Linked DNA regions of Arabidopsis thaliana. The protein of the gene in region 4 interacts with the protein of the main gene of each other region in a pairwise test. Each region holds a gene or a part of one and is shown on either strand. Other genes may lie near its edges. The genes, in order: NAC094, BRX, BEL1 and ERF8.

Region 1 (6,778 bases), on a different chromosome or scaffold from region 4:
TTTGGTTTGATATTTTCACGAAACGATATGCAAAGTAATTGGTAACATGTTTATGCAGTGGAATATATATTCACTTGATAAATTGGATGTTCACATAGTAAAATAGCTTGATACAAGAAAACATTATGCGTTATGCAATACTTAGCAAAATAAACATCAACAACATATTAAAATTCTTACGAGAAGATGAAAAAACAGTCTCACACTCTCTTGAATGAGCTTTGTTATCAGAGAAACATCGAGTTGTCGATAAGAAGGTTGTTGTTGGTAATATCACTCGTAAACAGGTTCTGATCATAACCACAAGGAACATGCGGCATCAACCCATAGTTGTTGTTCACAGATTCTTGTACCGCAGGAGCAGAGTGATCTTGTGTGTTTGAGACAAAAGAATGTTGGAAGTTGTTGTTGTTCATAAACATGTTCTGATCATAATTACAAAGCTCCTGTTGCATCAAGCCAGATTCTTCTTGTAGTAAGGCTGAGAACTCTTGATTGAAATTTGATGCAGAGAGTGGGATTTGAGAGAGCGTAGCATCTCCATTGTTACTCATGCACATGTTCTGCTCATAACCACAAACCTCCTGCTTCATTATCTGACTCTTCAACTCAGATTGTTCAAGTAACGCTGAGAAATAATCCTGATTGAAATTTGATGCAGAGACTGGGATCTGAGACAGAATATTATCTCCATGGTTATACATAAACAGCGAAAACTGGCTAGGGTTCAAAGATTGGGTCTGATTATTCAGAGAGGATGATGCTAAACTCTGATGATCCGGTTTTGTCTCCTTATGTTTCTGCGACTCAACAAAACGAATCCTTTCTCGGACTTTAGAGACATGAGGTTCTAAGGACTGAATCAGTTGAGAAATTTGGTCAGGAGAGTAATGATCAGCAATTGGATACTTTAAAACATTCACGTTCTTCAGACAAGTCTTTTCAAGTCGTTGTCCTTTATCTTTGCTTTCTTCTCCAAGTTCGTCTTGTTCTTCTTCTTGTTCAGGAAGTCATAAAGAGTAACGCTCTTCTTGCGTCTCAAGGCTTCGTTTAGTTGACTATACCTGAGAGCAATGTCTTCCACTTTCTCTCGCTCCGGAGGCCATGTCTTGAGTTCTCCGTCTGGTCCGTAATAGATGACGCATGCTTCGATATCACAGAGAGTGCAAAGCTCTGAAGCTTTCCTGAAGATGGTCTCAAGTCTATTGCTCAAACTTGTTGAAGCGAGTGAATAAGAAGAAGACGAAGAGGAATTGGAACAGCCTGAGGAAGAAGGTAAAGATCGAATGGCCATCTTCTTGTTGATTTCGAAGACAATCTCTCTATTTTTTGTTTCACGTTCAAAGTGAAGAGAAAGCACGAAGACGAATGAAATTGAGAGAGTGAAACTACGAATTAGGTTTAGGAAACCCTAAGAAGATGATGAAGAATATGAAAGTCAGAGACAACTTTGTGAAATAGCGATATACTTATAGAAAATTTGGTCCTTAAAGTTAGATTTTTTATTTTTTTTTCACTCTTCTAATCGGTAAAACAAAGCTTGTGAAGATTTGATTTCCATATCTTTTGCATAGATTTGTGTAATTTAGCCGTTAAGGACTGATAAAAAGGAAATAGTTTTTTTTTTCTACTCTCACTCTCTTTTAATTAATAAGATCTATAAAAAAGAAAGATTTGCTTGTCCATATATATTTCAGATACCCTTTGTATCATTATGTAAATAGCTCTTAATTAATAATATAATTATTGGATTTGCTAAAAATTTGTGACAATACAATCTAACAAAAATCGACCAAAATACATCCATTTTAAATAAAATTTAGAACCCTCCATTAAAAAATGAGAAATATAATTTATAACTCCGTGTACCTTTTTAATCCATTACTTTGCCATTATTGACATAAATAAAAGATTTTGCAAATTCATATTTTCTTTACTTATTTTCAAAAAAAAAAAAGAAAGCATTGTATCCTCTTCATAAAGAATATGAAATATGGCTCTGAAAAATCCAAAAAAACTAGTGTCATTCAAGAATGAGACTTAATGATTAATATAAAAAGCCATTACAATTATCTATACCAAATTAAGGAGAAGTTGCATGTTCGAAGCAAGTCTTTGTTTTTTTCTTTTTCTTTTCGGCCTTCAAGAAACCAAAAGAGAAGCAACGTTTATAGTAAGACAAGAAAAATTAATACATATTAGCGATGATCAACGTCTACACTAATTCAAGTGTTAATAGTACTATGATCTTAATTGTTAGTGGAATACGACGTCGCCGACATCTCACTCCCCGTAGTCTCCTCCATCACCATTGATCTTACATTCGGAACCTCATGAGTCAACCCTCCAGTCAAGTTGTTGAAGTAGTTATTCTCATTGTTGCTCAGAACCAGAGCATCCCCTGTTCCATTGTTTCTCAGAAACAGAGCATCCCCTGTTCCGTTGTTTCTGGCTGTATTGTACGTGACTCCGAGCATCTGAGACGCGAAGTAAGAAGCAGCTGATTCTGTGAAGCTTGCGGGTTCGTTGACTGGAGAAGGAATAAAGTTTTGTCTTGTTGATATGTGGCTGAGAACGTCTGATGAAGCTAAGAGAGTTGCGGTGTTGTTGTGTGACTGTTGATTGTTGTCAGGAATCGTTGGATAAACCCAAGATTGTGGGATTGATCTTTGTGAGGATACTGCATTTGTCTTCTTAAATATTCTACATATCGCCCAAGCATCCTACAAAATGAAAAAGATCGATTCTAATTTGTTTGGTAACCTAACCTTTGTTGCGGGTAAAGCAAGTTAGGGCAAATCCGATAACTTACGTTTGAAGGAAGCTCCTTGCTGTTGTTGTTATTGTTAAGGTGTTGCTTCTTGTTATTGTAATTGGGATATGATGAGTGATGAGAGTCAGAGAGAGAAGGGAGACGAAATTCATGCATCATCCAATCGGTTTTGACTCCTTTAGCAGCTCGACCACGGTAGAACACAAGTGATTTCTTCAAACCGATGCATCGAGTGGAGTCCAATGAGTATATAGGCCGGTCTGTTCCGGTTGCTTTCCAGAAGCCACCTCCAGTTACTCGGTTAGGTCTTGTGCTGTTGCGGTATTTCCTGTCTCTAGGACAATAAAAGTACCACTCTTTTTCCCCCATCGCTGCAAGCTCTTTTTAAACATTGATTTAAGAAAATGCATAATCAAATATTTTGTTTCCATATATTTGGAGAATTAAAAGTTAGAGTTTTGTGGCTTACTTGGGAGGTCCCATGGATCGTATTTGTAAATGTCGACTTTCTTGATGAGATCAAAGGGAAGAGATTTGTGTAAAACCTTCCGTTTCAAGTAGAAACTTACGAGTTCTTCATCAGTGGGATGGAACCTAAACCCTGGCAATACGACGTCGTCATATCTTTCAACGTTGTTACTCTCTTCATCATCCATAACTAGAACCATTAACACACACAGAATTAGTACTTTTGGGATACCAAAATTTGATGAAGAGAAACAGAGAGATTTATAGAGATAGAGAGAGTAAGTTTGGGGAAGAAGGAAGAAGTTTCTTAGAGAAGAAGAAATGGGTTCATAGGGAAACGATAATTGGACCAGAAAGTGATGCGTAGGTATAAGACCAATGTCTCTTGAATAAGAGGAGATTTATACAAGAAAGATATTATGAATCTTGAATTTTGCCGTTAAAATTATTATTTTTCTTATGAGAAGATTCAAACTTCAAGGTTATTGCGTACTTCGTGAAATCGAGGCTACGGACGAGTCGAACAATATAGGAAAAGTTATACTTACATTACGTATGTGGTTTATCTTTAGGAAAATATGATATGGAAACGTTTTTCTTCCTTTGTTTCGATATCTTATAGATGCATTCTACCAAAAAAAATCTAACTATATGGTTAATGACTTAATGATGATACGACTTTGACCGACTAATGTCAAACGTTTTTCTAGAGTAGAATCTATATGGGATCCAATCTCTATATCTATAAGTCTATAAGTAAAAGTCTTATAAATTAAGATTGATATTTGAAAGTTGTGGTGCTTAAGCAAAGGGTCGTTGTAGTTTTAGTTATAGCCGTAAATAAAGTAATGTTCTTTTACGTAAATTATGAAATCTCAAATTCGCGATTCCCTAAAATTAATTTATTCCTTCCTTCTTCCACATTTATTTATAGTTTCATACTTTTATATATATTATTGTAACATATAAGAAAAGTAAAATCCATGGTAAGTCAATATAGGCATTGGTAAAATCGAAGGCATTGCTTAAGGTTGCTATATATGTCTCCAAGTTTGAGACATGTAAAAACATAATGTATACGTAGAATAGAAATGAAGATCTCGTGGTAAAAAAAAAAAAAAAAAACAAGATGAACCAAAAAACAATTCAAGATGAGAGAAGTCCAAAAAATGGCCTAGGTTTTTTAACCCACGCAACACAAGTTGGGAAGTTTGGTCAATAGCCTTTAACCTAAGCTTTCTATTTCTCTTTATATGTAAAACATTAAAGTTGTCAACAACCATCCTCTTGGAATATCTATTAATGCTGTGAAAATCCAAGTTTTTGCTTTAATGCTTTGAACGGTTTGTGCTTTAAAACCGATACATCAAACCATCTATCTCCGAGACTAAACCCTAGGGAGCATGTATCGGACATGCTCGTCGTCCTCAAAGGAAGAGGATGATGGAGGTACACTTGCCTCTCGGCTGGTACAACACTCGCTCGCAAGGTTCGATTAATAGCTCCTCCAAAGTGGTCTGCTCAACCTAGAAAAGAGAATTGAAGGAGACATTTTAATTTAGTGAGATAAAAAAAGTAAATTGTGAACCTGAAATAAAGAAGTGGAGATGTTTCATAAACCTTGATAACACTTTTGAAAGAGACCTTGCACAAGACAATCACATTGTGGTCCACCTAAACAAAAAAACAAAGTATACATGGTAAGACAAGAGTCCAACAATGAAGAGGAATTTGGAAAATCAAGAAGCAAACCTACAGTTTTCTTTTTGTTTCAAACTTTTAAAAGCATAATTCCTTCATCTTCCACTCAGGCCTCACATCGTTTGATTCACTCTTAGGACCTAAACTGAATGACGTCTTTAGCCCAATGCATATTTGCTGTTCTTCTCGATTAACACTTTTGGATCGCGGCGTGACACCCATTTCCCGATAGAAGTGCTGTTCCCTATGAATCCAAACTAAAATCCGAATATCTAGGCCTAGATAGCGATATGTTTTTCTGGTCTGCTCAACGCATTTTCATATTTCAAACTGCTGGTCAATGTTTAATTTATGTATAAAATAATCACATGTGAAGTTGATGTATAAAACTGTCACAATTTGAAAGTTGGAGTATTAAATGACATTTTTCTCATTTCGATTATGGTGAAACGACGTTGTATTGGAAACTAAAAGAGACTAGTTAACGGATGTTATCGGATCTGTTAGCGGTAGATAACGTCGTGTGTATTTTGGCATGATCAACAAATAATTTTGTATGAAATGGTGCCCGATCAACGTATTTTTATATATTAAATGGCCATATACGAAGTTCACATATTTAAAATAATTACTTTTTAAAATTTCGCGTATAAAATGCAATATTTCTTAATAAAAAAATAAATATCTGCTTTTTTGGGTTTTTTCACAACAAAATAACACATATAAAATAAATAAATCATTTATTTTCTAAATTACTAGAGAGGGCATTTCGGTATTTCAAGTATCTTCTTCTTCCTAAGCTACACAAAAAATTATCTAAGATTCTTAATTTTATCCAGGTTTTTGCCAAATCGACTGGTCTCAGAGTTTTCTCGATTTTTTTTGGAAAGATGCAGGTAATAGCATCTTTCTGTTCGAAACCTAATGAGAATGAATTTGTTGGTCGACGACAACTTCTTTCTTCAGTCTGTTCCAAAATTTCTCAAGGCGACGTCGTTTCACACCCACCCGTTTCTTCTGTCAAGTAAGCATTTTAGCTTCTTCCATTGCCCCAAATTTTGCTGAAAATTTGTTCCTTTGATTTGGGTTGCTCAAAGATTATGTCTTTTCCTGATGGGCTTTAGGTTACTAAGAATGGTGTTATGTGTGAATCAACGTTAGTGAAAAATCACCGTAAAGCTTTTAACTTTTGGAACAATCTTTTGGAGAAACTTCTCATTTTGAATCAGACATTAAGATTTGTTGATTTCTTGGAGAATTTTGATGTTTATGTTACTTTTTGACTGTTTGATTATTCGATAGGGTTACTCAAGATTGGAAGTCGAATTTACATGAGTTAGCTGTGAAAAGTGTCCCTTCGACGACAAGGAGAATCTTGTTGACAAGTTTATTCATGAATTTGTGCTTTAATCCTTCAAGGTACTTATCAGGTCTGCACCTTGTTCAGCTATTTGCTTTTCTTCTAACGCTTTGTTTACACAAATCTGATGAGGAATATATCTTGTTTAAGAAGCTTAATTGTGACAATCAGAGCCTTTAGTTCCTAGCTGGTGATGATTCAAAGTTAGTTTAAAGGATTTTGCAATACTAGTGGTAGAGTTCTGAAGCTCCTTGAACTAGTCTAACCTCTTCATTAACACTTATAGTAAGCTTATAATAAGATGGTTTTCATTGATCCATTAGTGATAGAATTTGATAATTGAGTATGCTCCGTGATGTATTACTACAGCCTTAGCACTTGGTGATCCATCCGTTGCAACCGTTGAAGATGTTAGTCCAACTGTTTTCCCAGCTGGACCTCTTTTCCCTACTGAGGTTTGTCTCTTTAGCGAAAGT
Region 2 (8,489 bases), 8.4 Mb from region 4:
GTCTACATTTGGTAAGTCATATGATCCGTTTTTAAGAAAACAAAGTAACTTAGTTTTATTTTACTATTAATGGACTATGTAAATTCATCAAAACATGTATAAACGTATATACTGTATATTAGTGTTATATGTTATAAGCTTCTTCTGTATAAGTTTACTAAGTTTTTTTGACAAGGTTTTTTTCAGTTTATGTATAAATATATACTGTCTATAAATCTATTAAATCTAAATCGATGCCGTTTTGATTTTTACAACATTTCATATGACAACAAATTTAGAAGGTTGACTAACAATGTTATGATCAAAGTTGATTCAAGCCAAAATTATTAGTTATTAACTAGATCAACCTAAATAATCCATGTATGTAGTTTAATTGGTGGCCATAATTTACAGAGAAGTGTAATGCCTATTACTTAACCGCGAATCAACATCACGATATTATCAGCCTATACAACTTTGGAGAATGACTCCTTATGCCTATCATTATTTAGTAATTTTATAATTAAAAGTTTGTGTTTTAGTTTACCATCTTTATCGGAATCAAGTGAGTTTTTTCTACATATTTTAATCTAAAATTAAAAGTAGAAAAAATCGATGACCAACACGACTAAGTAAAGTCAAGCTCGTTCATATCACTTTCATATAATTATTTTAAATGCTTCGAACTCGATACATTCTTTCAAGCTACACTGAGAAACTTCATTGTGATTAATATCAACACCTTTTTGTCTGAGGTTAACATTTTATGTTACTAGTATGCTTTTTCTTATATCATAGAGATTCAGCTCGTTTGTACTTCCTTAGAAAATTTGTAATTCACTATGTTATAACCTTCAGTGAAATTCGAACATGGCCAAATATTTCATCATTAACCCCAAAATCAAGAATGCTTGTCTTTAAAACTCTTTTGACATTTCACTTCCTTCGTACTTTTCACGTATATGAATGAAAATAATAAAATTTATAAGAAATCTTCGTTTAACATTTCTTTTCTAAAAAAGTCATTGCATGCATGAGATACTTACATATGCAATTGAAGAAAACAAAATTACAGTACAAATATTTATTCCAAAATACATTAACACATCGTCAATTCTGCAAGCTTTTCTTCTATAGCAATCTCTAAACCTAGCATAATTTGGTTTAACGAGTCAAGAAAAGACAATTTTTTATTTATTTTTTAATATGGTCGGACCATTACACTATATTATATATTAAAGAAATGAACATGACAAACAAACACATCACATGTGTAAAATAAATAGAAATAGTTGTATCATCCCATACTTCAATACTCCATCCACCATGCCAACATTAATCCATGATTGGGACACTATTTAAGCAAACACTTCAACTTACACTTTCACACTATATTATATAACTCCAAATGTCCAAATGAAAAAAATTCAATGAACAAGTTATTGATTCTATTCACAATCGATGCTTCTTTACTCATTTAGTAGAAACATAACAACAAAAAATTGGCACACATGATCATAACCAAAACAAGACAAAACGATGAAACACACATATATTATGTATAGTAAAATAAAATAAAAAGAGATGATGAAATGAACCCACACAAAGCGAATCGTGATGCGACGGTTCCCTTGGCCTGTCAAATGTATCGTGACCAAAACCCGACCCGGTTTCAGCTGTCTCAAACCAATCAGAAACCGCCACGTATTCTACTTCCACCACACGTAAGCCATCTCCGTCACCGGTAGACAACATGGGCCCTCTTTGCCGTCTCTTCTCGAGACCAATATTTTTCCTCGGCACACCAAAATAATAAACCTCCGTCAAAACTCACGGTTCTTTTTTATTACATTAAACGCCGTTAAACATTCTCTTTCCTCCACGTATATATATATACTCTTCGTAACTCTTGTCTCTCTTCTCTTCGTCTAGTTAAAACTCTCGGAGCTCCTTTCAGTTCTCGGGTCACCCAATAACCCGACTTCTCGACCCGGTTTCGTCTCTGTTCTCATTTTTTCCAAATTTCTCTTCCGGAAAATGAAGATTTCTATGGGTTTTTGAGTTTGGAGATTTTCTCAGTGAAGTTTATTACATAATCAGATTCGAAGAAGAAGACATTTCAGGTGAGTTTATAAAAATTCTCTTTTTTGAAGATTTTTCTCGGGAAAATAAGAAAACAGAGAGATTCGTTGCTCTGTTTCTGTTCTTCTGTAGAAACGATTAGTCACTGGTTTTTTTCCGATCGATCTTTTCAATACTATTTTTTCCCGGAAAAAAAAAGATTCAGAGATTTTTTTTTTTTTTTTTGCGTTACCTTTTTCTGCAAACATTTGTCACTTGATTGATTTGATTTAGACAGATTCGATTCGTCATTTTTTTCTGATTAATACCAAAATTTTCTCACTAAACCCAAATCAGAAACTTCACCGAAAAATGTGTATTCATTCTTCAATATTAATATAAATTTTCATTTTCATTCAAAAGTTTCCCGGTATTTATTGTTCTTTTACTTTTTTGAGAAAACGCCGAATTTTTTCTCAAAAACATTAAAAGCAAAATTGTAGTATCATAAATTGTTTTCGTCCTTTTGTAACACATTTATTACAATTACTGTCTGTAACACTACTACACTAATCTTCTCTGCAGCCATTGATGGTCTATTTATAGACGTAGACTCAGAACTAACCCCACTCGTGCCGGCTTCCTAAATAGACCAAAGCCTTCAAGAGGAAAATAAAGCAGAAGCTAGCTATCTAGTATCTCAATAATCTCAGATCATATCGCTTCATTTCTCAGATATCGAAACACAAAGGTGAGTGAGTAATAAACAAAACCCACTAATCAAAATTTTATTTTTTGGATTGTAATGATTAAGAAAAAAAGAAGAAGTCGTTTTCTGAGGTGAGAATAATAATGGTTTTTGTATCAGTTTTTGCCTTTGCTTTTGATATCAAAACAGAGTTTTTTTCGTGATTCGTGATTGTTTTTGCGATTTTATCTTTTACTTTGGATATAGTTTTAGTTTTCATGTCGCGACACGCTTTAGATTGGTCCATCATCACTCAAAACCCTAAAAATAGAAACCAATCTCTTTTTCTTTTTCTTAACACGTGACTGTCAAGATTCCATTTTCTTGTTATATTTTTCAATTTTGTTTTGCTTTTCTAGTGTTTCCAATTGTTTTCTTCTTTACTTATGTATTTGTCTTGATCGATGTTAAACACGCGGAATCAGAACATATTATTTGATTCTCTTGAGTCATCACAATAATCTGATTTTTTTTTAAAATGTCATAAATTTCGGCTACTGCAAAAAAAATGTAATTATTCTTCGAACTTTTGTTAGTTGAGGGATGGGTTTAGGATCTTTTGCTGCACACAAAAGTATTAAGTTATTCTTTAACAAAAAAAAAAAACTATTTAAAGTAGAATAAAGAAGCATTTGTCTCTATTATGATTGTCTTTAGAATATATTATTACTTGTAAATAATGTGTTTATACAATTTTCAGGTGTTTAGATTTGCACAATTAATTTTTAAAATATTAGTATTTCTTAACTGGGTCCTATTTTCTGATCCCCAAGCTCTCTTTCTTTTCTAGTTATAACATCTTTTTTTTTTTAATAAAGAAAAGTGTAACATGTAGTTTTAATATCTCTTTCAACACTTTTGTCTTTATCAAGATCTCTTCACTAATTTATACCCATCTTTTTTTATTCGCTCTTAAAATAGGTAACACAAATATCCGACCATGGTGTAATGTAAACTGTTTTTCTTTCTTTCCATTTTTAAAAAATGGGTTTAGTACTTGAAATATTTAGCATTGGTTCTTTATGAGTTAAACTACTAACCAGTCAAGTTACATTTTCTTTTTGTTATAACATGAGTAGTTGTTTCCTGACTAGAGATATGTCAACAACTTTGTCCTTTTGTGTTTGTGTTTTGCGTTATAAGAAAACGACAATTGAAATCCAAATACCCTTTTCTAGCTATATGTTCCTAACTTGTAACTAATGTTTACATGTGTACTACGATTACATAAGCTTTACCCGTGTTTTATGTCGGATTGTGAGAGTGAGCTCTACTTTAACGTTCTTAATTACTTTTTGTTTTGTTTTGTAGAGTATTATTATTGATTTGAGTAGAGTAGTGTGAGGTTTGGTTTGTGATGATGTTTAATAGAGTACTCTCTGGTTTTATAGGTCTGAAAAGGCAGAGAACAACTCAAAAAAGAGACCAAAAATGTTTTCTTGCATAGCTTGTACCAAAGCAGACGGAGGTGAAGAAGTCGAACATGGAGCGCGTGGAGGCACCACTCCCAATACTAAAGAAGCCGTCAAAAGCCTAACCATTCAGGTCTCTCTCTTCTTTCTTTGTTGATCCTTCTTCTGCTTTTATTTTCTTTCACTTTATTTTATTGCTTTTCTCTAATTGCCTTGCTCGTGAAACAAACAAAGACACAAACCCCAATTAACGTATCTTAGAGGACTTAAAAAGGGTCCATATATTTGACTATTATTCGTTTTCTTTACCAAAGAATAGAGTTTGAAGTCATTAGTATATAGAGGTTACTGTTGTTTAGGACAGAGATCTTACAATGAGGTAACTTCACTTCATTTTTTGGAATCTTTCACCAATCTCTCTTTAATAGTTTTCATGTCAGTGTTTGCTTCCTCTCTATGTGACTAGACATATGAAAGTCAAAAACAACTACTGAAACAATTTAAACCCTCATTGTACATATCCTTGAATTATGTAGCCAGTTGAATTATCAGGACTATCATTAAAGCTTATATTGGGGTCATACTTTGATGAATATTGCTAGTGAAGCTTGATCTAAATACCTTTCTCTCAAATAAGCTTTAGTGGATTCTTACCTAGACAAGGAAATAAAGAAAGGGTTTTTTGGGGTGGGGGTAACTATTTTAGTAAATCAAAAGAACATAAACAAAAGAAATAGTGGGCCGTTATGATTGTGGTGCAGGCTAAGAAGACAATATGAAGTTTCTTTTTTTAATACATATGTTTAATTATGTTAGATCTCATAGCTTTATTGTTGTTCTTTTAATAATGATCATAGTAGACCTCTTTTTACTTCATTGGGCTAAAAAGTATACTTAGTCATACTTAAAAAGGCTTGAAACTACCTATAATGTTTGTGTACCGTTATACTCAACATTCTTGTGTGTTTAAATGGATTACTTTGATAAACAAGATAAAGTTTTTGAATGTAATCGGTCTTTTTGGGTGCATATGTTACGCAGATTAAAGATATGGCTTTGAAATTCTCTGGTGCTTATAAACAATGCAAGCCATGCACTGGTTCCTCTAGTAGTCCCTTGAAGAAAGGACATAGATCATTTCCGGATTATGACAATGCCTCTGAAGGTGTTCCATACCCTTTCATGGGTGGAAGTGCTGGTTCAACTCCTGCTTGGGACTTCACAAACTCCTCTCATCATCCAGCTGGACGGTTAGAATCAAAGTTCACTTCAATATATGGAAATGATCGAGAATCTATCTCTGCACAGTCTTGTGATGTTGTACTGGATGATGATGGACCAAAAGAGTGGATGGCTCAAGTAGAACCTGGTGTTCATATCACATTTGCTTCTCTTCCCACTGGAGGAAATGATCTCAAACGGATCCGTTTCAGGTATTTGAACTACTCAAAACAATCTCTATATCTTCATGGCATTCAACGCTGAAACATGAGATAAAAACTAACAATTACTTGTGTCTTGTTTTGAAAGCCGAGAGATGTTTGATAAGTGGCAAGCTCAACGGTGGTGGGGTGAGAACTATGACAAGATCGTTGAGCTTTACAATGTACAGAGATTTAACCGCCAAGCTCTCCAAACGCCTGCAAGATCCGACGATCAGGTAAACACATATATCCTTAGATCCCTTAGTCTTTCTTCAGAACAGGATCTATATGAATCTTGTCTTTTAAGCCAGAGAGGGTAACACAAGTTTATATTTCAGTCACAGAGAGATTCAACGTACTCAAAGATGGATTCAGCAAGAGAAAGCAAAGACTGGACTCCAAGACACAATTTCAGACCTCCAGGATCTGTCCCGCATCACTTTTATGGCGGCTCTAGCAACTATGGACCAGGAAGTTATCATGGAGGACCACCGATGGATGCAGCAAGAACCACAACTTCTTCCAGAGATGATCCACCTTCCATGAGCAATGCTAGTGAAATGCAAGCTGAGTGGATTGAAGAGGACGAGCCTGGTGTTTACATTACCATCAGACAATTATCAGATGGGACTAGAGAGCTACGTCGAGTCAGATTCAGGTATAACAAAACGTCTAAAACTAAGCATTTGCTAATCATATACATTTTGAAAGTTGGTAATCATACCGTGACTAACCGGAATCTATGGTTTTGTGGTTTAATCAACAGCCGGGAACGGTTTGGGGAAGTGCATGCAAAGACATGGTGGGAGCAGAACAGAGAGAGAATACAAACACAGTACCTCTAAGCAAACGAAATATTATGAGTACCAAAATCTTTAATTAATTAATTAATCTCCTTCACATAACAACACAAACTACACACATTTTGCTTATCTTTTTGTTCATCTTAGCTTAACATCTATACATAAATTAAGTGTTTTGAAATATCATTTCTAATCAAAGCTGATTACATTTACATATAATTATAAGTCTATAACTATCGTGTAAACCATGTCGTGTGTTTTGTGACAAAGATAAAGAAGTCAACTATGAACCTAAAAGAATTTATCAACATGCGGTATAGACTATAGAATAAAAAAGTCAACTTTATTATTTGCTTATAAGTTATAACGAATACAAAGTAGAGTTGACCATTTGAGTTTTTAGATGAGAAAACCATAAACTTGGAGGAAAGTCACCATAGTTCCATCAATGGCTGAGATTTCTGATATTACTACTCAGACACAAACCGTTGTCTTGGACATCGAAAACTATCAATCCATTGATGATTCCCGGTCGTCGGATTTATCCGCTCCTCTTGTGTCCGTATCGTTCGTTCAAAAGGTGAGCCGCCTCTTTTATGTTGCGATATGGTTTCTTAATTTGTCGTGAAATATTTGTTAGTCCAAATCAAGATTTTATATTTCGTGTGATGTTTGCTATAGCCTATATGCAAGCTCAATCTTGACTTTGGTTCTAATTATTGGTAACTGATTTTCCAATCTATGAAGTATGATAATCAAATAAAACAAACATTATTGTTCTCTCTTTAGTTGATTTTTTTTGTTGAAAGTACTCTATAGTTGATTGGAGAGTTCGTGGGGACATTCACTATGATATTTGCCGGTTGCTCAGCCATCGTGGTAAATGAGACGTATGGCAAACCGGTGACACTTCCCGGTATAGCTTTGGTATGGGGACTAGTCGTAACGGTTATGATCTACTCAATTGGTCATGTCTCTGGTGCACATTTCAACCCTGCTGTTTCTATTGCCTTTGCCTCTTCTAAGAAGTTCCCTTTTAATCAGGTGATCCAAAGATATCTACAATTGTAAAAAAATACCTCATACTATCTTTATAATGTTATTTCATGATTTCGACCATATTCATAATTATAAGCAGCAAAATATGTATTTCCACTAGTTATTTGTTAAATCAAGTTTTTCTCGTTTATTCCATTTCGCATATTTGGTCATTTTACCATAGATATCATCTATACCAACTAGTCTTACATTGTATATGTAATGTGGTGGTTGTATTACAGGTTCCGGGGTACATTGCCGCTCAACTTCTCGGATCGACCTTAGCGGCTGCAGTTCTACGGCTTGTGTTCCATCTAGACGACGATGTTTGTAGCCTCAAAGGCGATGTTTATGTGGGAACATATCCGTCAAACTCAAATACGACCTCGTTCGTAATGGAGTTCATCGCTACTTTCAATCTAATGTTTGTTATATCTGCTGTCGCAACCGATAAACGGGCCACCGGGTCATTCGCTGGAATCGCTATTGGCGCAACCATAGTACTCGACATCCTTTTCTCCGGGTAACTATTCTAAGTCTCTTTTGAAAAATTTCCATGGTGATTTTGTTAAAACATAAGCTAACAATGTTTTATTTTCAAGGCCAATTTCGGGAGCATCTATGAATCCAGCAAGAAGCTTAGGGCCTGCACTTATATGGGGATGTTATAAGGATTTATGGTTATACATAGTTTCACCCGTGATCGGGGCATTATCAGGTGCATGGACTTATGGTTTGTTACGATCGACAAAGAAATCATATAGTGAGATTATTCGTCCAAATTGCAATAAAGTATCTTCGAGAGATCGCCAAGAAGCTTCCCAAGATGAGATTTGTGTTCTACGAGTGGTTGATCCGGCTAATCAAAACTATTTTATATGTTCATCACCTACTGATATCAATGGCAAATGTAATGTTACATGTAAGTTGGCGTGAATTATATCGATGTACTATTCACTAAACTAGTTTACAATATATAATTCATAAGTTTATTTATGATACTGATGTATCATATTTTTATATA
Region 3 (9,841 bases), on a different chromosome or scaffold from region 4:
GACATCTAATGCCGCTTCATTCTCAACTAGAATTTAAAATCGGTTATAGGGCATCGATCGAGGAAATGGAGTTTAAAGATATTGAAAAAGAAGGATTTGATGAGATTGGTTGTTCAATTTGTCTTGAAGAGTTAGAAGATGGCCATGAGATTATCCGTATAAAGAAGTGTAGACATGTTTTCCATCGTTCTTGTATTGATTCTTGGCTGAAACAGAATCGAAGCTGCCCAAATTGTCGATGTTTTTGACCGGTTTTTTTTTTTTTTAATCCCATTGAGTCGATTTATTTTATAACTGTTTTAGTTTCCAAATTTTATTTTATTTAGCAAACTATTGAATCAATAAATTGGATTTATGTGGACGGTTTTAAATCTGATGCAGCATTATCTTCGGGCATTACGTTGGTATTTTTGGACTTTGATCCGTTTGGGTTATTAGCTTCTTTTGGTTTTAATTGTTGTTTATAATTTTTTGAAGGGATTAGGATAAGAAAATTTGGTGTTTATCTTTCAGGTCCAACTTCATTTTCAAATATTTTCTACTAATTAATAATCTTAAACTTTTCACTTAAACAAAAAAAAATATACGACTTAACCTAAAGTTTTTAAACAGAGAAGTACTTCTCAGTCTCTTGACTCGTTACTCGTTAGCTTCGTGGAGTACATGACTCGATCTCAATCTAAAATTCTTGTAGGTCGTCTCATACGCAAGTTGGAATCATTGTTTTAAAATCGGAATCGTGAATTTTACCCGTTGTTAAAAGAACCGCTAGACGTTAATTGACCGCTCGGTATAGTTCTAGCGATTAATCGGAAAATTGGATTAATATCACCAATTCAACATTCCAACATGGGTATATTTGTAGAAAAATTAAAATCATCCCAAACCACTGGTTATGTTATTTAATCCGTTCGATGTGTTGCAATCACGAATTTTGTTTTGGGAGATTGAAATTAAAATTTAAAATTTATATATCAACACAAATAAAAATTATACACCAAACAAAAAACCCAAAAAAAAAACAACGCAGTTGCGGTTGAAACAAACCAAATGAAGCTGAAAAGAGTAAGGTACTCCTCTTGTAGAGAACCACCGCTAAGGTCGGAGTCTCTTTGTGAGCTGATGCTATTTCTGATTGATTTATCAATGGTTCGTGTGAGAGGATTGGGTGATGGCCTTGGTGGTATCGTCTCCCATTCTTTTTCCTCCACACATGATAGATCATGGCTTAGAACAATAACCGCATAGGAATTAGTCTACATCACTTCCTTAATTTCCCTAGAATTCCTTTGCATAGATATTTAATAACACGATTTTGGTATATTATCTTTGAGAATCCATATTATAAGACTTTTTCGACATATCCTAAAGAGAAATTTAGTAAAGGTTTCTTTTGGCTTGAAGGAGCCCAAATGTGACACATGAACCATAATTCATTAATGTTTGAAATTTTGACATTTATATATTTGAATTATTGACCGCGACGAGTAAATATATATACAAATTATACAGTCTTAGATTTAGAAATATGTTTCTTAGATTTAGTTTAAATTAGACAGAAAAGTTTCTTAAACAATGTCAATGTATATATATTGCATTTTGGAAAGAGACGTATGTCTTACTCTTATCGATAATTTTTGTTCTTATCAACACTTAATCTCGTGTTTAAGAGACTGTAGATGTTTGAATAAGACTATAGGATACAAGTCTATCTGTATTTTGTGTCAAATTGTTAATTCAGTCACTCTTGAAACTTGCTTGAATTCATTATTCATGTGTACATAACTTTATATGTATACGGGAGTGTACACGTGAACGTTATCGATCGACCGAGATGGTCCAATAGTCAGTTTGTTCTTTCTTTATTATGTTTGTCGTCAACTTTATTTTATTAGGTTTTGTCATTAATAACACAAAGACCATACACTCTCTCTAATTATGTCTTTATATAAATATGATGGTCTAGTGATTTTCGTTACTGAAGTCGTATCTATTCGATTCCAAATCCGTATAATGCATGCCAACTACACAAATTTCACTCGTCCATGTTTGTGTGATATCTATTTATGTGTATATTATACACAGTTACACACATTCAATTTTATAATTTGTATCAAGTATATACGTAAACGATTGTCATGTACAGACACTCAACATACTTTAAAAAAAACTATATATCCATTTACTTTTCGAAATTTTGAAACCAAATTTATAAGAAAAACAAAATTTTAAGGGATTGAATGTTTCCAAATAGTTTGAGATGGTCCTAGAATATGAAAACAGATTTGAAAAGACACTTGATAATATTTCCTTAAACAAAAATATATATGATTTACATTAAGAAAAAAGTATTAGATTGAGAAAAAAACCTCTCAATAATATATTTTAAAAAACAAAATGAAAATATCCTACAAGTGATATTGACGAACCAACTAACTCATACATTAATAATATCTCCTTGTCCACCAATCCTCCAATCCAATCAGACAACGGTATATATAAATATCTAATTTGGTTTTTATCTAACTAAACCGTTACATAACCGAATCGGTTTTGGAAAATATGTATCGATAACTTTGGTCCTAATCTTTTAATCTCAAACAATATCATGAAGTAATTGAGCTCCCATCAAATTCCTATAAGGCAAATTCTGAACTTGATCATCATCTAACATCGACGCTGAATATTGAACCGGTCCTTCTTCAATGTGGTCTCTACCGTAGAAAAGTTGGCCACCTTGAGCCGTCACTGGAGACAACGCTAAACTCACACCACCGTTACCATCGTTACGTTGTAACCCAAGCGTCAAGGAAACGTCACCACGTGGCCCTCCTTCACCAGCGTATGTCACAGCTTGGTTACCGTACAAGGAAAAGTCAAACGTTGACCCTAACGACATCGTTCCATGGGTTGAGTTGTGACCGGATTTGGATGTAGGGTTTGTCACTATTGAGGATAAAGATTCCGGTTCGACACGGATCAACTGGTCCGGGTCCGGTTTAGTATCGATCATCATCGGGTTTGTAATCTCCATTTGTTCACTTCTTGTTTCTTCACAGTACATTTCTTCAATCATTGGTTTCCATAGCCTAACTCTTGCATTAATAAACCAATTTGATACCTAACAATTTTGGTTTATTATAACTTTAGTAAATAGGATAATAAATTTTGGAATATATCAAGAATTAGTGGAGTTATTCTTTACCTGACTTCTTGATAAACCAGTTTGTCGGGCCAATATATGCTTATCAACATCGCTCGGATATCTGAAAACAAAAATAAGAAAATTTTACTTTAATGGAAAAATATAAGACAAATGGATATGTAATTAAAAAAAAGGATATAAATGATTGAAGAATGATGCAAATAAAATGGAAGCAAAGGTAAAGGGTTTGGTGAAAACTAACAAGATGTTTCATTGTTTGAGCAGTGTTTGGGAATTGATGGAGACAAGTGTTACATATGATGATAAACATATAACTTCTGTAAATTAAATAAATAAAAAGTAGAAGAAAAAGAACAAAATAAAAACATGGAGAAAAAAGCAAGGAGTTATGTATAGTTTCTCTCTTTTGTTAGTGTTAGGTAAAGAACATTGATTCTCTCTCTCAATCCACTTTGTACCTTTCTCTATTTCTGTCTTTCATCCACCAGTTAAATTTATTTTATTTAATTTTATATGTTCGTATACATATATATACATGTGTATATGTATATGTTTGTACACTCACTTTCACACCAATAGTGCAAATGAAAGAAAAAGGAAAATAAAAAAGCTATATGCAATTAACAGATTAAGGTAGATTGTATCCTATGCTTGTCAAGTCAATCTCAATCTCTCTATATAAAATGTACATATTTTTTTACTTTTATATGTTCAAAAATATTCATGTAACAAACAAAAAAAACCTATCATACTATTTATCAACGTACTATCAATGAAATAAAATCGTTAAAGAGGTTTTATATAGCTCCATAAATATACCCAATTAACTTGTGATTCTACCTTCATTGATCACTTCAGAAAGACACAATTAGTAACTTTTAGGTATGTGTAAATATATTAAGAGGATGTATATGAAATAACTTACGGGTGAAGAAAGTGTTCAAAGAGCCAAGCTCTCAACGTTGTGACTGCGCGTTCAGGCAAGCCGCGTTGTGGACGCCAAGGATGAGCGTCAACAAGAGTCATTTGGCGATACGATTTCTGTTGCCGCAAAGCTTGATCGAGCAATCTCAACCGTGGAGTTTCTCCACGTGCTGCAATAGAAACCGCACGATTATCCTCTTCTCTCTCTCCCAAAGCTTGACTTGTTGCTTGAATCTGTCCCACAAGTCCGTCTTTTAAACACCGAAAGTGTCTTGACATTGCCCTTGACGCTAACGCAGTGTATATCTCTGCCCCTCCTAGTCCAACCGCCGCTTCAAAGGCTGCCGCCGCAACTCTCATTTGCTCTCGGTAATGTCCATATCTTCTTTTAAGCTGCCAAAAAACCGCAAAAAAACGTTACCCCACACCATTCACAAAGATTTCAATCACAATCGTGTAAATGTAGATTCTTAGAATGAGTAAATACACGAAAAAGAAACAACTCGTTATGGCTTATGATGATGAAACTGATTGCTATAAATATGGAGGACCACTAGAGTCTCCAAATTAGCTCAAAGCAAAGAAAACAAAATTATATTTTGGTTCTATAGAAAAAAAGAAATAATGAGTAAAGGAATTAAAAGGGTTGATCTTTTCGTAGTTGATACGATCGAACTTGTTTTCGACGAGAATACATGAAAGAATGAAGACAAAAAAGAATCTTTTTATCTTAATATCTAAAAGAAATTTGTAACTTTAAGAAATATATGGACCTAATCAAGAATCGAAAAAATACAAGATTTATGGGTATCTTACATATTTAGGAATAAGTTGAAACCAAATGAAAGGAAAAAAAAAAAGATTTGTAAAAGACTTGTGGGTATTTTACATTTTTAGGAATAAGTTGAAACCAAATAAAAAAGGATTAGATTTTCTAAGAAACTCATGTAAGTTTTGATAGTAGTAATGAAATAATTTCTTGAAAATATATATACCTCTTCGAGCATGGAGAGCAACTTGGCTTTTCTTTTCTGAAGTTCCATGAACTCAAGAGAGTGAAGTGGTGGAACATGTTTCTTTGAAGAAGTAGTCGCAGATTGGTCATGTTGATCATTGTTGCTGTGGTGACTTGTGTCCCACTCTTCTTGTTGTTTACCCTTTTGCTTCTTCTTATGCTTCATCATCATCACTTCTTCATCGCTTTCCTTTACTCCAAGACTGCAAAACTCACTCAGTAGCTCTTGAGCTGGACTCAAATACTTGGAACTCCCAATCTGAAACTGATGATGATTATGATGCTGATGATTGTTATTGTTGTTGTTTTGGTGGTGACTATTCATCATCATCATCATCATCTGCGTGTGTTGGAGATTCTGATGTTGTGTTGATTTATTACCGGAATACCCTTGTTGTTGTTGTTGTTGGGGTCTGAGTTCGAAAGATTGGAGACTGATGCTTGTAGGATTTGAAGAGGAGAGAGAAAGGGAAAGACCTTGGCTTGGTCTTTGTGGTGGTCTCTCATCATTTACTTCACTTGGGAAATCATTATTAACATTGCATAGTCTCATGGCAGATGAAGAATCTTCCAGAAGCTGATTCTGATCAGTACCACCACTTGTCTGATGATGATGATGATGATGATCCGAACCACTTGTCATCCTAATCTGTTGTTGCTTAGAGAAGTCTATCATCATACCCATGTTGGAGTTTGAGCCAAAGATCTGATGATTGTAATGATGATGATCGGTTGGGTTTTGGTTTGTCTCATCAAACCCTTGGATCTGATTAATCATTTGATGTTGTTGCTCTTGATGATGATGGTTATTGTGACCATAGAACTGATCTCTTGCCATGTCTCTCAAGAATTGAAAACCCAAAAAGAAGAGAAGAAAAAAGAAAACTCTTTTTGGGACAAAAACAGAAGTTTCATTAAGATCTACAAGAACCCATCTCCAAGAAAAAGTTAAAAAGAACCAATAAACAAAATAGAAAGGCAAATCTTCTCATACCATGAAAATTACAAAACTTTGTATCAGAACCAAGACAATAGAGATAGCTCCTAAAACCCTACAAGAAAGTAGTTTGCATAAAGATGTGAATTATTTTTCTTCTTATTCTTTAGGTGAAGAGGGAGAGAGAAGAGATTATAGGAGAAGATAGACGAAGAAGAATAAAAGAATTAAACAGAAGAGATATAACAGAGAGAGAGAGAAGAAAAGAGATTGTGTGGCTTCACCTCTCTCTTTGTTTTGTACTTTGACAAAATTTAATTTTTCTTTTAGTATGGGTCTGTAAATTGTACTACAGGCAAAAATAAAGAATTATAAAATGGTAAAATAAAATTAAACCTAGGAAGAGAAAAAATCAGATTGGTATCTCTTCAGAGATCAGAAGACAGGTGATCATGACCCTGCCATAGACTCTATAGCTAGCCATCAATGTTTTAATCTCTCTCTCTATATATATCTATATATATATATATATCACAAGTGGGTCAAAATGCTTTACAATTTTCAAAAGAAATATTAATATTCTTTTTATTTTATTTTTTCCCGCATATAAAATGCCTCACAATTATACATTTAATTTGTGTATTTTGGTATACGTAAGTCATAATGAAATAATGGTTTATATTTTTCTTCTTCTTTGACGTTGAATTATAAATTATTGGTCTGACCAAGAAAATACTACAGGTGTCTACCTCTATTCTTTATTTTCTTCGTTCAATTATTAAGAACCTGCTAATTCGAAAATTTAGTTTACAAAAAAAATCAAAAAGGATGGTACGTACGTACATTGGTCCAAACAGTTTAGAAAAAAAATTGATTGGATAGATAACAAATAATTAAACTGAACTAAAGAAAACAAAAATTAGAGATCCTTTGCCCGGTACACAAACTAATTATACAAGCCATCTTCATATGACATATCTCTACGTTGATTTAATTATTTATTAAACATAATTTAGTATTTAAATGTTCATATATATATATATATATGTATATATGTATTTAGTATTTTGATTTTTATTGCTGAATCCATACGTGTAATCTACGTGTATATGTATTTAGTATGTATGTAGATATGTATACAATATGTTATCTAAGAAAATGATATCAATTTTGGTGTTAGTGTCGTTTGCTAAGCTTATGTAGGCAAATTTTGTTATTAAATGAATATTTTTGGAACTACTTTTTTTTTTGGTGAAAATATTTTTTGGAACTACTTTTTAAACATTTTTATGAAGCATAGCGTATCTCAAGCAATATTTGAACATTGACGATGATTTTTAATTGAAAATAATAATATTCTAAATTTAGCCAACCAGTCACGTGAATGTACAAATTTAACTAGTATTTTGTACAAAAGGTGTCCCTTTCTATACATAAATAATCGTTATATATAATACATGTATGCCTCTGCGGCTCTGCCTATTTTGCTCCTAAAATATATTTTCTTTGTTAAAGAATTATTATCAGGTCTAATTTATAACAGAATTATTTGATGATAAATGAATTTTCAAACAAAGAAGAGAAGTTAAGTTAACTTAAAAAATGAATAACTGTGAAAAAGTTTTGCTCCTAAAATAGTTTTTTTTTTTTTTGGAGAATTAACATACCAATATATATATATATATGTTGGTGTATAGATGGAGAGGTAAGTAAATGAAAGAGAACGAATCCCAAGAAATCAAACCAGAAGTAGGAGTTGAGTTCAGGCTTTTCTCAGATATGTCTCAGTGTCACTTCTCTACTGTTTAACAATTACTATTAAATTACTATCAACCATATCATAACTATATAAACATTTTAATTAATAGTAATTATATATAGTAGAATAGAGATCGTAGTCCCGTGTAATACAACACAAATGGACTGATGTCATTATTCGACTTGCACTTCGCACAGTACGTGAAAGAGATTGTGTTTTGAGTTTTAAAATACGTTGTTGGTCGGTCACTAAACTAATCGAGAAAGTACCAAAACAAAAGTCTCCTTGTTAGTAACTGCAAGGGCGAAGAAGTTAATTATATCAAGATTTAATGGTTTTCTATTAAATTCCATTTAATATGTACGCAAAAGAAGGAAAACAAAAAATCAAAGTTTTCTTAAACATTGCTGACATACAAAATCAAATATTCAAATTTTAAATAAATGTTTCTTAAATGTTGACATAGAAAACTAATATAGTCGTTCTTCTGCTTGGCACATGTATTATTAATTGTTGTAAAAATAGTGTTTATTACAAAATTTGCAAATTTCTTTCTTTAGAATTTAGATATATACGACATCTTAACATTCAAACCATAAGTCAAACACCACATTATGAAAAACGTATAATTAATTGGCGTTACAAAAACATATCAAGAAATTAATTAATTTTAAAGAAATTAAAAATTATTTAATTAAATAGTTTTTAAGTAGGATAATCTTTGATTAGTTAACATCAAAGCCAAGTTGTAAAAGAGGACATAAAAAGATACATAGAAGAGACAAAAACAACACTGTGTTTGTAGTTATTTAACCGCTAATATTTATTAGAGTCACCCAAAAAGCTTTCTTCTTTTCATTGGATGGATAAACCAGTGAGTTTTCTTATAAATGACAAATTCGAATATAACTTATAACCAACAATATCACAAAAAATTGATATTACTTGTGTTATAGAATATTCACATTCAGTTGCTTAAATATAGTATACTATTGCTATATACGTCAAGTTCATATATTTACCAACAATTCAAAAAAAAAATCATCTATACATTCATTTTTTTGTTTCCAAATTAAATACATGTGTTAATTACAAACTGTTAACTGAAACTATCAAGGAAGTACAGGATAAGAATATCCAAAACTTTGAGATTATACGTTAATAACAAACTATTAGTTTTCAGAATTGGAGTATTTATAATTGTTGTCAAGAATTGTTCCCAAACTAAGGGACTGTGCATGAGAGGTGATTAAGTGGTCCTCCATTTTTTTTGCTTCTTTTTTCTTTCTAATGTCTTTCTTTCTTTATATTCATTCCACCCAAAAAAATGCATTTATTTTCGTCTCTCTTTGGGACCATTTTATTTTCTTCTCCAATTCTTACATATTCACATTTATATGAACTTTATATATCCTCTTCCACGCGCCAATGTCTAAGAAAAACAACTCAATTGAATAAAGCATCTATATTCTAATACTGACCTTCTCAGATAATTAATAGGACAATTTTAAGTAATACTAATATGTTATAAATTCATTACAAAACCAAAAGAAAATAACTATTCAGATTTATGACAAAAAAAATAACAATGATTTCTCAAAACTTATTGACATATATTTCACTATAAAAATTTGGTAATTTTAGTTCAAAATGAAGCATCCACAATTTGGTACTCCATTAATTGATAAAATCAGCCATGCGCAATATGTATAAACACCAGAACTAAACCCAATTAATTGGTTTAGTCACGTAACAAACACGCGACATGTTGTGAGTGGGTGAAAACATCTTGGCGATTACATACATTTAAAAGGGGAAGTGGTCCAACCGAAACGGAAGCTCTTTCCGCCGTTTCATACCAAATTCCACAAAGAATCCTTTTTTCAATCTTTTGATATCCCGAAAATACCCTCCACTGATGATTGACGTCATCACTTCAGACCTTTTTTATTTTATTTTTGTCGACAACCTTTTTTATTTAAGAGAATGATCGCAGCAGGTGCGCAGGTTAGCAGACCTAATATTTTTCTACGTCGCGAT
Region 4 (6,267 bases):
CGATAGTATTCTTTTTCTTTTTACCAAATAGGCATGTAAAAAACGATCAATTGGGTTGGTTATATGTCAAAATAGGGAGACTCAAGACAAAACGAGACTCAAAACTCTCGGTTAAAGAATGCCAATCAACATGAATAGAGATGTCAATCATTAGGCCGACAGTAGGTCTTGGTGGCCTAGTCAGGCTCAAGAGGCAGTCGATCAATACTCATTCATGGTATCGATCGATTTTGTCGACAAAATGGAATTGGCATGATGAAATATCGATCAATTATTCAACAAAATAAATTGACTTGTCTTGCCTCTAACGGGCTGTTGATTGATGCAACATAGAAGCTATCGATCAACACCTTCATTTCTTGTATTTTTTTCCTTCAGTTTTGCTCCAAAAACTTTAATCTTGTTCGAATCCAGTTTTTATCTAAACTGACTCTATAAATACCAGAGATTCTTTATAACACTGAAAACTTATTGAGTATATTAGATTTAGAAGTTTAGTAAATATTCTAACACCTCAAAGTTTGAGACAGAATTTTTAAGTTGATCAAGTTATAACAGTATTCTGAAAAGTGTATTTTCCAATCTTATTGATATGTTTCATTCACGATTTTTTTTTCTCCTTTCTCTTATCCCTCGACGATTGAATTTAAGATCAGATGTTTTAGCCCGTCTAGCCAAAATGTTTTTTGAAGACATTGGCTTTGTAAATTATACTCATTTGGTTTGAGCGATAATCAAGAAATTACTTTACAATTTAAGTTTGAATTTGGCAAAAAAAAGTTTTTGTTGTGCGTTTATTTGACTAGATTATATTATACTTTACTCTAACTACAATCATATATATACATTGGTAACACGATAGACAACATATATAAAAGTCTTTTAAACTATAAAAGCCAACATATATATTCCATAGTATTCTTTAAAACAAAAACAAATATGCATGTAAATAATAGATTTGTCTTTTTATTGTTGTCACTGTAGCGACATTTTTTTCCGTCACTGTAACAACGTATATTTTCTCCACAGAACTAACAAATTCGAATCTATTTGTTTGATGGTGTTCATTTTTAATCCAATGTACATATGCAAGTAGTAGATATCTCTTTCTTTTTTGTATATACACGATATATAAAATAGTTCACTAAGTTATAAATCTAAAAATTTATTTTGATAATATTTTGTTTACCAAATAAATACACAAATAGTATATATGCGTTGTTCGTCATGATATCGTCATATATAAAATCCACTACAATATAAAATTTTGGTCATTTTGTTTGATAATATTTATTTTTCACCAGATATAAGCATGTAAATAATAGATTTTTTTTTTCTTGTCGGCTCGTTAACGACATTTATAACGGAATAACGGTATACTAAAGTACAAATTTTTATTCTATTCCCTTTATACCAAATAAGCTTTCATGGTAACATCCGCTAAATTATATATTGTCATCATGGTAACATCCGCTAAATTACAAATTTCAAATAATTTTTACTTTTACCAAACAGAAAAGTAAGAAATATTTTTTTGTCGACACTTTAACGATATATATATGTAACGGTATATAATTTACAAATTCAGAAATTTTGTTCGCTATATATTTTCTTACAAATTTTTTTTTTTTTGTTTATGTGTTAACAACATATATAACTACAAATTCGATAATTTTGTTTGAATATTTTTTCTACTAGATACACACACAATAGTTTATATTATATATATATATATATAAATCTTGACCTAACTAAAACATATAGTTTAAAAGGGTGTTATTAGTTCTTAATTAATTAAAAAAAATTCAAGAATCTGATAAAATCATAGATTGTAAAGAAATGAAAGTTTCTAAACTATTATTATAGAGTTTTCTATAATCTTGTTGATTAGTTTTTCACAATTTCTAAATTTTCTCAAACAATCTTTCTTTTTTAATGATACTTTTCGTAACTTTATTTTGGAAAAAGTGTAGAAAATCATAAACCAATAACACAATAATTTAATTCATTGACAATTATAGATTCTTTTGTTTTAGCTAAATAATATAAAATTTATAATAATTTTATAAAAGTATAAATCCAATAACTATAGATTTATCAAGATTTTAAATTATTTTTTACAAATCTTAATATTTTAAATTTTTTTAATTGAATAACAATAGATTCTTTATAATATTTTAAGTTACTAAAACTTTAATTAAATCACAAACTAATAACACTCTTTAATAGTGTATACTAGTATTATTGTTATGTCATTATATAGATTTAAATCCGCATATTACATTGCTTTAATAAGAAAAATTACTTAAAATTGCAAAGTGGCGATATAACATGTTTTATAGATTTAGTACAAATATGTTCCTAGTTTAAATAGGGATAAATGCAGCAAAAACCAAATTATATTATATTCTTAATAGGCAGTAACTTAATTTATAAGATTGTGATTTGTGCAGTCTTTGTTACAAAGGTGAAAAAGGGTAATAAATAAGATTCTTTTGGAGAAAGAGAAGTGAACACGTGGCAAAACATAAGTGGATATAATAACAAAAACCAGTTTTTATATGAAATAAGAGAAGCATGAGAGAGAGATAATTAAACCATCTCTCAAAATGGCTTTGACTGTTCACAAGAAAGCTCCCCAAAAGGAGCGTTGCTTTACTCTCCTATAAAAAGAAGCTCTTCTACTTCTTCTCGTTACCACAAAACTCTTTCACCGATCTTCTCGTTCCATTCTTCTTCCTAATTACACCATGCCCAACATCACCATGGGTTTGAAACCCGACCCGGTTGCTCCAACGAACCCGACTCATCATGAGAGTAATGCTGCCAAAGAGATTCGTTACAGAGGCGTTAGGAAACGTCCATGGGGAAGATACGCCGCTGAGATCCGAGATCCGGTTAAGAAAACTCGAGTCTGGCTCGGTACGTTCGACACCGCTCAGCAGGCGGCGCGTGCTTACGACGCAGCCGCGCGTGACTTTCGTGGTGTTAAGGCTAAGACCAATTTCGGTGTTATCGTTGGTAGTAGTCCTACTCAGAGTAGCACCGTCGTCGACTCTCCCACGGCGGCACGGTTTATAACACCTCCGCACCTCGAGCTCAGCTTAGGCGGCGGCGGCGCGTGTCGTCGTAAGATCCCGCTTGTGCATCCGGTTTACTACTATAACATGGCGACGTATCCAAAGATGACGACGTGTGGTGTCCAGAGCGAGTCTGAAACGTCGTCGGTCGTTGATTTCGAAGGTGGAGCTGGGAAGATATCTCCGCCGTTAGATCTGGATCTTAACTTAGCTCCTCCGGCGGAATAGGCCGTGAGTTTTTTTTTTCTTATGTCGTTTCTTTAGACAAAAAAAAATAACGTTTCCTTTTTTTTTCTGCCTAAGAAAAAAATATTATCCGTTTTTTAGAAGAAAGTGTAGAAAAGCTCCAATATAATTTTTAGCTGCCGTGAAAAAAAAGTCGTTATGTATATATTATTATGAAACCCTATTATAAATCGACGTAACATAAGAGGATCTTAAGCTTTTTTTTTTTCTTTAGTATTTGCCAAGGAAATGCATCATCGTAAATTCGTAATTGAAAAGATAAAGTATTATAGAGCTTTTTGGGGCTCGTGTGTAGAAGAAATAGATAAAGAATGGTAATGTTATTATTATAAGACTAAATATAGTGATGAGTATCGTCGTCGTCGGCTTGAAAAGACAATGGTCCAAGTGTCGTGAAGACACGCACCAATCGTGGGAGGACCGGACCCATCTTCTCTGGCTGCGGCGTACGTTAGAAGAATACTTCTTTACGCTTACGTCATTTTCACAGTTTGGACTGCTTTTCTAACTTTTGACTTTTGTGTTTTGCATCAACTCTTTTAACTCCGATGATTTATTAACAGATGGTTAAGAGTCTTGCTTAAGTTGAATAGTATTCGATTTGAAATGGTAAAAATGTTTTAAGGAAGTTGAAGATAAGAAGAGCGGCGGCTTCATAATGAGAGACAAAGGAAGGATGAGATTTGATTTTGATTCTTGTCGCCAACTTTGTGATCAAAAAACGTATAAAACAGTTATGCTCTATGGTCGCAGATCCAACGGCTGGAATCGTCATCGTTACCACGTGGACGCTTAACATAATTTAAATTCTTATTTCATATTTTTTTAAAGAAGTTAGTATGTTTTAAAATATATATATATGCATGCGTACAAAATCGTGTTAAGGGTTATAATAAAGGGATGTAAAATTGGGGCCTCTAGAAAGTTGAATAGTTTCAATTAAGCCCTTATCTTAACGACATTTAGCCCCACTCAACCAAATATACACCCATGTCATGTCACTACGCACAACTATGGATCACTCCCATAAGTAGATGTTTTATATCAATTGACGATTGCAACTTTTTTACGTTACAAATTTAATGCTGGACCGAAGGCTACCATACTAGGATCCGAAAGCCCGATCCACGTGTGGCGTCATCAGGACAATGTTTGCGACACGTCGGCTGAGGTGTTTGGCGCGGTGTTTATGATAACGGCGTTTACACAAACCTCTGTTTATGAGCTCTGTGACTGTGACTGTATGATTTTAGTAAAATAACGAAAACAAATACTAGGTCCTTTCGTTCTTTGACCATTTCTCCGACCAAAAAGGGACCACTTACTCATCTACGTATATTGGATAATACATTGTATTATCACCTTTAATGAATACGTGTCCTCTGTGAAGCTTCAGTGACCCAATGAGAAAACAAAAATGCTGATTTAGTGTGACCCCAAATTTTATTTATTTTGTACGTAAACAAATGTTTTCGTTGACTAAAGAAACTTTGCCATTGGGCGATGGCCTTTTATTTTGGATGAAAACTCAAGAACTTTTGTTTTGCTAAATTTCCTTGTTATGTTTAGGCCTCAAATAGAAAACTTAGCAAAACTAAAGATCTTGAGTTTTCAATTTTTCATCAAAAATAATGGTCCTTAGTCTTTTGAGTTTATATTGTGAGAAAGAGAGTCACGGTTGCTATTTATTTCTTTGTATGTTGCTATTTCCAGAGTAACGATTGAAAGATATACTCAGGTTGGGACTTAATCATCTAAACCAAGACCGAGCTGGTATTCCTGAGCATATGTTTGACTCACTACAGGTCCTCTCATGGTAATAACCCTTGTTAGTCAATTTTTTTAGTTTACAGCTGCATTGAGTTGTCTGATTCATGAACCACACAAGTTGCCACTTTTGTAGAAGAATTAACAACAAAAGATTGATGACTTTTGTCATATGAGAGAGTTAAGAGAAAGAAAAACAAAAATAATGATTATGAGTACTGGTATATGAATGAAATGGTAAGAGTGATTACATATTATCACAGATAAAAGGCAAGCCCTTAATTATACAACTAAGAATATGCTTCCTCTCTAAAAAAAACCAGGAAGGAAAAATAAAGATAAAACTAAAAAGGCCAAAATAAGGTAGAAAATGCCAATTAAAAAAAAAAAAACTTAAAATTTTATAAATACACCCTTTTTCTGAAAAAAAATTATACACATAAATACCAAAATTCAATGCATCAAATCAATGTAAGAGACACACAAACAACATTCTTATGTTCTGTCTTCTGTGAGTTTCTCAACTTTGGTTAAGATCACGCGATGTTTGACCTAGCCATCTGCAAAACACAGAAAATTAAATAAACATTGTAAGTTATTACTCAGTTTTCGTTTCAGGAGAAATGTTTAATGCTAATCACATCAGTCAAACCTTGAGAATAAGAATCTTGCAAGTGGACTAAAGTTTGCATTAGAACTAAATTCTTTGCTAGCTTGCTTTCTTTTGTTCTCTGCATCATTGTTCATTGTCTTAGCGAACACACGGATCGCCATGTCTTGCACTTCTTTCACTGACACTTCCTTTGTACTGTATGACCATTTTCGAGTTTCATTAGATCAAACCCAGTATTGCCAATATAAAACAGACTGATACTGTATACACAAGTGTGTGTATATGTTCTTTTATAGTTACACTTACCTTCCCAACTGTTCGATCAGTTTGGCAATAAAAGCTTCAGAAGAACCAGGCTTTTCGCGTTCCATTTTAACTAAGGATCTCGAAACTCTATGTCCAATAGTTCCTTTTGAGTCGTCACCCCCAACAGCCTATATTATTTGCAGCTTCTAACTCAAGACCGAAACTTTTTTTTCTCTAAATTGAAGATGACTCATAACTCATTGAGAGAAGTAAGATGGCAAATGTGAGCGTAGTTTATAGCTTACCTCTTTTAGG

What was found.
Region 1: the proteins of ERF8 (region 4) and NAC094 interact in binary tests that used the Arabidopsis thaliana proteins (3 or more experiments, as listed by UniProt).
Region 2: the proteins of ERF8 (region 4) and BRX interact in binary tests that used the Arabidopsis thaliana proteins (3 or more experiments, as listed by UniProt).
Region 3: the proteins of ERF8 (region 4) and BEL1 interact in binary tests that used the Arabidopsis thaliana proteins (3 or more experiments, as listed by UniProt).

What each region holds. Positions count from the first base shown.
Region 1 is NC_003076.8:15,937,051-15,943,828, forward strand, and holds NAC094 (NAC domain containing protein 94), read right to left. Parts: upstream 3,541-6,778; 5' UTR 3,442-3,540; coding exon 3,243-3,441; intron 3,154-3,242; coding exon 2,813-3,153; intron 2,724-2,812; coding exon 2,250-2,723; 3' UTR 2,060-2,249; downstream 1-2,059. Other genes in the region: AGL98 (AGAMOUS-like 98), read right to left, coding at 228-857, 935-1,294; DEG8 (Trypsin family protein with PDZ domain-containing protein), read left to right, coding at 5,833-5,966, 6,245-6,372, 6,672-6,757.
Region 2 is NC_003070.9:11,443,585-11,452,073, forward strand, and holds BRX (DZC (Disease resistance/zinc finger/chromosome condensation-like region) domain containing protein), read left to right. Parts: upstream 1-3,702; 5' UTR 3,703-3,736; coding exon 3,737-3,738; intron 3,739-4,179; coding exon 4,180-4,333; intron 4,334-5,241; coding exon 5,242-5,633; intron 5,634-5,730; coding exon 5,731-5,860; intron 5,861-5,962; coding exon 5,963-6,282; intron 6,283-6,390; coding exon 6,391-6,469; 3' UTR 6,470-6,608; downstream 6,609-8,489. Other genes in the region: NIP3;1 (NOD26-like intrinsic protein 3;1), read left to right, coding at 6,876-7,007, 7,247-7,471, 7,708-7,988, 8,068-8,401. UniProt on the Arabidopsis thaliana protein: Acts as a regulator of cell proliferation and elongation in the root and shoot. Regulates roots architecture and primary root protophloem differentiation.
Region 3 is NC_003076.8:16,576,526-16,586,366, reverse strand, and holds BEL1 (POX (plant homeobox) family protein), read right to left. Parts: upstream 6,432-9,841; 5' UTR 5,944-6,431; coding exon 5,086-5,943; intron 4,484-5,085; coding exon 4,092-4,483; intron 3,267-4,091; coding exon 3,206-3,266; intron 3,122-3,205; coding exon 2,597-3,121; 3' UTR 2,290-2,596; downstream 1-2,289. Other genes in the region: AT5G41430 (RING/U-box superfamily protein), read left to right, coding at 1-248; AT5G41420 (uncharacterized protein), read left to right, coding at 1,051-1,248. UniProt on the Arabidopsis thaliana protein: Plays a major role in ovule patterning and in determination of integument identity via its interaction with MADS-box factors. Formation of complex with AG-SEP dimers negatively regulates the carpel identity process and favors the maintenance of ovule identity.
Region 4 is NC_003070.9:19,818,580-19,824,846, reverse strand, and holds ERF8 (ethylene response factor 8), read left to right. Parts: upstream 1-2,594; 5' UTR 2,595-2,750; coding exon 2,751-3,308; 3' UTR 3,309-3,510; downstream 3,511-6,267. Other genes in the region: ATMAP4K ALPHA1 (Protein kinase superfamily protein), read right to left, coding at 5,614-5,653, 5,746-5,901, 6,013-6,140, 6,258-6,267.